Linked DNA regions of Xenopus tropicalis. Each later gene encodes a partner of the first gene's protein in a complex. Links are inferred from orthologs where the notes say so. Each region holds a gene or a part of one and is shown in the gene's direction. Other genes may lie near its edges.

Region 1 (4,289 bases):
AGTGCAGCGAGTTCAGCTGTTGCGGTACCACTCCCAGCACCCCTACAACAGCCTTCTATAATTGGTGTTTGGAGTTGTAACTGAACAACAGATGAATGAATAAAGAATATGACTATCCCAATATACATTATCATTGCATCTCTCTTGCACCCCATCCCTTTAAACAAGAGACTGGAAATTAGTGCCCTTCAGCTCTGCTTATCAACCAGCAGCACGTAGGGGTTTTGTTACTGTTTGTGTTTCAATAGGTGAAGCATTAACTTCACTTGCAGTTAGTGGATTTTATATAAATAAAGGTTCTAAAAAATAAAGATTATTTGGGGCTTTACAGGGCAATAGTGTAGCTGCTCATCACACAGAAGCAGCAAAACCAACCACTATAGGCTTATTGTCTTGTCTACCCCCCCCCCCCCCCCCCCCATAAACTATACCTAGTGCAGGGATGCAATGCAAAGGATTGGGGCTTGCACCTCATATTAAGGAAAAGTGTCTTACCTGCCATGAAGCGAAGAAGGATGCCGGGCTTAATAGGCTGGTGGTGGTGGGATGGACCCCTCCCAGAAGCTCATCCGTACATATGTCACAACCTTGGGCATCTCTCCAATCCCAGAAAGGGATGGTAAAATTCTCATCTCCTGTGAGTTTCTGAATCTCATGTTCCCAGTGCAGCAGGAAGTACCTGTGCCAGGGCACAAAAGCCGGAGCTTCATGGGCAAAGTCAATGTCTCTCCAGAGAGCATCTTCTCCTATGAAGACATCACGGGAGGCATAGTAATGCATCCAGACAAAGAGGTCATACACGTTGATATCCGCAAACATAGGGTTGGAGCCATTATTCATCTGGGCGTAGGTGCCAGTGACTATGACATAGTCACGGCTGGTGGTGTGCTTAGCCAAATTCAAGTAGGCAACGAATTTGCTCTTCTCAGCACTGCTCATTCGGAATATCTCCTTTCTTATCATTGTTCTTCTCTCTGTGCAGTTTGGCCCTCTGAAGCCAAATTTGCAGTCTGCACAGTTATAGCCCATGAAGTTGCCAAGGCATTGGCACGTCCTGTTGTAAAATACTGTTGGCCAGTTCTCTCTATCGTCAACCCCAGAGAATGGAAACTGAGGGCCAGTAGCAGAGCTGGTCAGGACAACATCCTGGCAGACACCCCTTCCTGATAGCTGGCCACAAGAGGACCCATCTCCAGACCACACAGGGCAACACTCCTTGCTCAGGAGCGACTCTGCGGTGCTACATGCCCTTGGGAACTGGCCCCTGCAAACATGGAGGAAGAAGAACAGGCAGCAGAATGCCAGAGGGACCATGTTCCTTTCCATGCTGCTCCTCACTCTCCCCCCGAGCCTGATCTATAGGATTGGGAATCTTATCCACTTTTCTTCCCTACTTATTACCAAGCACAATCACATGTGCAGGCTTACATCAAGGGCATGATTTCTTTCATTCTTTCTTACCCCCCCCCCCCCCCCACCTCATTCCTCAAAGTACAGAACCCCTCCCATTCCCTTTCTAACTTCCAAAAAAGAAAAAGAGTTGGGGGGATTGATATGTGATTTTTGTATTTACTACTAAGCCTTAGTTTTTGCCTATTCCCCAATATGACACGCAGGATCTCTGCTTAATTGAGCCAACTTAAAAGTCTGATTATGTTTAACCGCCTGTTTGTTTTTTTTCCTCATTAAAAGGCCACACAAATGTTATTGCAGATAAATTAGATCGGAACTATTAGCAGAGTGGAACTAATGTGTTTAAAAGGCAGAGGCAGCCCGTGATAGATCCGCTCCATTCCGCAAAGGAAAGAAAATCTGGGGAAGCCAGACCCAATTGGGATGCATCTAAAGAGAGTAAGTTAAAGGGGAAGTTCGCTTTTATATTAACTTTTACAATACGTTGTCCTGGCAGACTGGTAAATAATACTCAGATTTAATGCCAAAGCTCACCACAATGTTTTTATGCCACAATTTTCCATATTCCAATTTTACTTTACTGCACTTTTGCAAATACTGCCACCACCTGAAGTTTGTTAAAGTCTATTGGTTTGAAGGTGATGGATGCCACTTTCCCTTAACCCTTTCTGTGCTGGGTAGGTTTGCTTTTCCTGCATACAACATAGGTCAAGGTCAAACTGGGAATGTTGAGTCTGTGGCACTGGTATTCTGTCCCTTTGTGTCAGTGCTGTAGGTTTTACTGCCCCTGACATGTAAAGGGTTAAACAGGTATATTGGAAGGAATACATGCCATAGAGGGCTTAGAGAATTAAACATGGCATTTCATGCCTTCTTACCTGTTTGAAAGGTGGAAGTTGATAATTGATAGTGTTTCAGCTGCTAAAGGATGCTGGGAGTTGCTGCAAGGGGAAATTATGTGAAAAATATTTCCTTGTTTTGTTTCAAAGGGTTAACAAACGCACAGCCCTGCAATCTGCTTTTTTCATGTCTTATTAAAGGGAATGTCCACACAAGCAACAGATATTTTTGTGGGATTTGTTTGGAAATGTAGTTCTCCTTCTCTGCAGATCTGTTAATGGCAGAACAGGCAAGGCATTGTGGGAACGGTCTTGGCTGGAGGAGAGCTGACTCCTGATACAATAGAAAAGTGTGAATAGTCAGGCAAAGCAGTGGAGGGGGATTGTAAGAGACTGATTCCCCTTTCAAGGGCAATTATATTTACTAGTCATGAGCGAATATGTCCCGTTTTGCTTGCGAATCTTTTAAAAGATTAGCGAAACTGTGAAAATGTTGTGCGTCAAAAAAAAATTGACGCCTGCGGGTATTATTTCGTCGCACGGCTATTCTTTTGTCACCTGCGGCTATTCTTTTGTCACCTGTGGCTATTCTTTTTTGACGCCCACGGCTATTCTTTTGTCTCCTGCGGCTATTCTTTTGTCACCTGCGGCTATTCTTTTGTCACCTGCGGCTATTCTTTTGATGCCCGTGGCTATTCTTTTGTCACCTGCAGCTATTCTTTTTTGACGCCTGCGGCTATTCTTTTGTCACCTGCAGCTATTCTTTTGATGCCCGCGGCTATTCTTTTGTCACCTGCGGCTATTCTTTTGTCGCCTGCGGCTATTCTTTTGTCGCCTGTGGCTATTCTTTTGATGCCCGCGGCTATTCTTTTGTCACCTGTGGCTATTCTTTTGTCGCACGCGGCTATTCTTTTGTCACCCGCGGCTATTCTTTTTTCGCCTGCGGCTATTCTTTTTACGCCCGTTCTTTTTTGACACGCTACCATTCTTTTGATTTGGACAACAATTTTGGACGCGTGGCGAATATTTTCATCCGTTTCGCAAAACAATCCACCAATGGCGAAAGCGGAAATTTACCAATAACTCTAAAATCACTGAAAAATGTTTAAAGGGGAAGGAAAAGCTACATGAAAATGTTAGGCACCCCCAAGTGACTTTAATCACATGCCTGAAACTCCCAGCCGGGGTGTATGCGGGCAAGTTTTCCTTTTTTCGTCTTCTATCCTCACCCATGCGCAGTAGAGTGAAAAGCCGACTTTGACTTTGGTCTTCATTTTTTATTATTTGTAGTTTTTTTTAATTATTTTAGTTTTTGTTCAGCAGCTCTCCCGTTTGGAGTTTCAGCAGCTATTTTGTTGCTAGGAACCAAATTACCTTAGCAACCAGGGTGTGGTTTGAATGAAAGACTGATATATGAATAGGAGAGAACTTGAATAGAAAAATAAGTTCTAAAAAGTAGCAATAACAACTTTTGCCTGCGGGGGTCGGTGACCCCTGTTTGAAAGCTGCAACGAGTTAGAAGAAGAAGGCAAATCATTTAAAAACTGTAAATAATCAGGGCCAATTGAAAAGTTGGTTAGAACTGGCCATTGTATAACATACTAGAATTTAACTTAAAGGTGAACCATCCGTTTAAAGTGACATGGTGCTGGGTGCAAGCAGAGAGCCTATGTAGCTACCATATAAAGAAGGGATAATAACTCAGCCTGGGGACAGAATGATGAAAGCCTATATAGCAGTCTATGGTATGGGGCCCCTGATAGCAGCCCCCCCATGTCATGGGAGCAGAGAGACGTGCTACCCGGGATCAGGAGCTGAACACATGACTGCTGACAGGCACGAGGTCTCTCTAATCCTGGGGGCTGCCAGCCTTGGCATTCTCTCCTTCAGCCCCACTGGCTCATTGACTCGACAGCCCATCATCCAGCCCAGAACCAGCTCCATTCACTGAAACGGCCGGATCATAGGGACATGGCTTGTGGTGCAATGGTGTAACTGTAATGGCGCGGGGAACTGGCACCCTGGGAATCCCTATAC
Region 2 (3,500 bases), on another chromosome or scaffold:
GTTTAAAAAAATATTGCACTGATTAAAACCTATGAATTAGTTCATGTTGTATTACTGATACATAAAGGGTAAATAAAAACCAGTAATGGCAACAAATAAACATGCATTTATATAAGTCCTCCTTATAACCTCACATTAGGATTAGGGATATGGGTGTAGCCATCCCATCAGCCATACCGCAATGCATAAGGCATATCAGTTACTCTACTGTGATAGAAATGATGGATTTTGGATATGATTTCTGATTTTTTTCATAATTAATAACAAACCAAAACGACTCTGTATTGCTGACCATTTGGTATTGTTATGTATTGTTTTCAGGCACAAAGACTGAAGTTGTTGATGTTAATGACCCTCTAAAGACCCATATGTAAGGCTCCATGACAATGTTCTAGCTCTGCTTGTCCTACTCATGGGATGATTAATTATTCCTTTGGCCCTGGGCTGCATTCTGACTCTGCCCCAATCCATCCCATCACTGCCCTTTACCTGGCGCTGGGCCCCCCTTAAAAAAAATGGGTCCTGGGCTATTGTCCCATTTTCCTTCCTGTACGTTGAAACTGGCCCCTCCCACTGTGGGATCATAAGGGCAAGAAATACCTTATTCCTTATACATTGCACCATGGGATGCACAAAGTCCATGTGGTTTAGACATGCAGGTGAGGGAGTAATAGTTAAATACAAAACTGACTTGTGCTCGACAGTGTCGCACTTTGCAGACCATCATATCTAGCACAAGGCGCAAAGCGCTGCCATTACCCAGTGCAACTACTCTGTTCATTAGCACTAAGGGGGGGCAATTGTAGACCTCTTAAAGCTCCTGCACTTCTATAAATGAGCCCCCTGATCTTACCCAGACCCCATGAAATATACTGTAAGTGCTTACCCCACTTTTCGGCAGGGTTCGGATTCCCCCGAATCCACGGTCCTGGTCGAACTGAATCCTAATTAGCATGAATTAGCATATGCTAATGAGGATTTGGAAGCGGCAATTTTTACCCCTTCCGGATAATTAGGATTCGGATTCAGTTCGGTATTCAGCCGAATCCATCGGGGATGGATTTGGAGGTTCGGCTGAACCCAAAAAACTGGGTTCGGTGCATCCCTAAAATTTTGTGCATTAAACGGGTGGTTCTCCTTTAAGTTAACTCTTAGTATGTTATAGAATGTCCTATTCTTTTCAATTGGTCTTCATTATTTATTTGTTATAGTTTTTTAATTATTTGCCTTCTTCTTCGAACTCTTTGCAGTTTTTAAATGGGGGTCACTAACCCCAGCAGCTCCCAACCACTCCCTGGTTGCTAAGGTAACTTGGACCCTAGCAACCAAATAGCTGGGGAAACTCCACAATGGAGAGCTCCTGCACTAAATAACTAAAAAACTACAAATAATAAAAGACGAAGACCAATTGCAAATTGTCTCAGAATATTATTCTCTACATCATTCTCAAAGTTAACTCCGAGGTGAACAACCCCTTTAATATATAAACCACTGTACAGGTATTTCATTATACTCTTATTTATGATGCCTACCAACTATAACTACAGCTCCCAGAATGCCTTGACAGCCAGTGCGCTACACTTGTGTTTTTCTGTCTTTTTTTACCTTCCCTGCTATGAGAGAGAGATGGGGGGAATCGGTGGGATAACCCCTTCTGCATTCTGCACTTAAGGGTAAATGTGGTGTGATTACATCTGGAAATGTTACATACCTTGTGCGGTTCAGTGGAGCAGCTGTGATTTAATTAACACATGCAAGCTATTAAGGCTCGGGATTACCGCATAGTTTTAAAGTGCTTCCAACTCCTGGCAAAATAAGACAGGACCTGTGTTAGAGCAGTGTTTGGTGTGATTGTGACAAGCTGTTTTACTAGTGCCGGCAGATGGAATAGGGGTGGAGGTAAGGCTCCGTAACAGGCCTATAATTAGGTTTTGTGTATCACCCTGCTGGACCATCAGACAGCCATGATTTAATATTGCAGCCATTATGCCTCTCTAGCTGGGGACAAGCATGGAAAGTGACATGACTGAAGCTTCCTGTTGGGGAGAGCCTCTGTCTTCATCTTGGACAACTATCCTGAGACCAAATGAGATTCAGTTCTTCTGCTTTCTCCCCTACAGCGAGCAACCCATCTTTAGCACCAGAGCCCATGTCTTCCAGATAGACCCCAACACTAAGAAGAACTGGGTTCCAACCAGCAAGCATGCCGTCACAGTGTCCTATTTTTATGATAGCACAAGAAATGTCTACAGGATAATAAGTCTGGATGGATCAAAGGTAAGAAGGTGCTTTTTCATTGGTTATCATTGGCAAGATGGAGTTAATTAGTGCCGAGCAGTATCAGCTGGCATCAGATACAAGTCTAGCACAACCCACTTCCCTGTTACTGGGCATGCTGAGAGCGGGTATATCCATCCATGTGTCTGTTAATCCGAATGGATCTGGTTGCACAATTTCAAAACAATGTGAAAAGTGCTTTAGTTACCTTTATTGTTTAACTGAAATGCAAAATAATTGGTCCATATGTTTTAGATATGTATCATGTGAGACACGGTATTGCTGGTATATTCCAGTAACATTACTGGCATTGTTTAGGCTACAGCTAGGAGATATTTCCCAAGCATCTGTTGATTTTTCAGTGTTCTTCACATTTCAGACTGGGATAAGGGCCACCCCTGAGCCAAACCAACCACTTGCAGTGATGCCCCTTGCCAATTATACATCTGCGTATGGATTTTGGATTTTTGTTGCATAGTATATGCTCATCCATTGATGAGTGCACTGTATTTACTGTACCTGTGCATTACATAGGAATACTCAGCAGCAAGATGGATACTTTGGAATTCCATCCACTACAATTGTCTTTTGCTGGTGCCCATTTAAACACCAAAGAGTTCGTCTCTGACGGGCTGATCCTTTGTTTTGAAACATAACCCTGTCCTTAAAGGAATACTGTCATGGGAAAACAAGTTTTTTTTTCAAAATGCATCAGTTAATAGAGCTTCTCCAGCAGAATCCTGCATTGAAATCCGATTTGCAAAAACACAAACAGATTTTCTAAATATTTAATTCTGAAATTTCACATGGGGCTAGCCATATTCTTCATTTCCCAGGGTGCCACAGCCATGTGACCTGTGCTCTGATAAACTTCAGTTACACTTTACTGCTGTGCTGCAACTTGGAGTGATATCTTCCCCTCCCTTCCCCCCAGCAGCCAATCAGCAGTACAATGGGAAGGGAGCAAGATAGCAGCACCCAGTAGATATCAGAATAGCACTCAATAGTAAGAAATCCAAGTCCGACTTGGGACTCCTTCAGTTACATGGGAGTAGGAGAAACAATAGGTTACTTGAAAGCAGTTCTAATGTGTAGCGCTGGCTTCTTTGTAGGGTGAAGACACATGGAGCTACTTAGTAGCAGCTTCTTGTCATGGCTACTAAACACCAGAAAATACCCTGCCATAGACAATACTGAGAATTGCCTCTGCTAAAACACACGTA

Evidence for each region. The genes of interacting proteins can lie anywhere in the genome.
Region 2: the proteins of grm5 (region 1) and homer1 are in contact, whole or in part, in a crystal structure (PDB 1DDV), measured with the Rattus norvegicus proteins. The link is inferred for Xenopus tropicalis from reciprocal best matches to the Homo sapiens genes GRM5 and HOMER1. Residues at the interface, in XP_006229721.1 of Rattus norvegicus: Thr1155, Pro1156, Pro1157, Phe1160; in NP_113895.1 of Rattus norvegicus: His12, Phe14, Trp24, Thr70, Ser71, Gln72, Lys73, Phe74, Gly89, Phe90.

Annotation. Positions count from the first base shown.
Region 1 is NC_030678.2:167,827,323-167,831,611, forward strand, and holds the start of grm5 (metabotropic glutamate receptor 5), read left to right. Parts: upstream 1-1,489; 5' UTR 1,490-1,851; intron 1,852-4,289. UniProt on the Homo sapiens protein: G-protein coupled receptor for glutamate. Ligand binding causes a conformation change that triggers signaling via guanine nucleotide-binding proteins (G proteins) and modulates the activity of down-stream effectors.
Region 2 is NC_030677.2:185,978,360-185,981,859, reverse strand, and holds part of homer1 (homer protein homolog 1), read left to right. Parts: intron 1-1,879; exon of another isoform or gene 1,880-1,899; intron 1,900-2,120; coding exon 2,121-2,277; intron 2,278-3,500. UniProt on the Homo sapiens protein: Postsynaptic density scaffolding protein. Binds and cross-links cytoplasmic regions of GRM1, GRM5, ITPR1, DNM3, RYR1, RYR2, SHANK1 and SHANK3.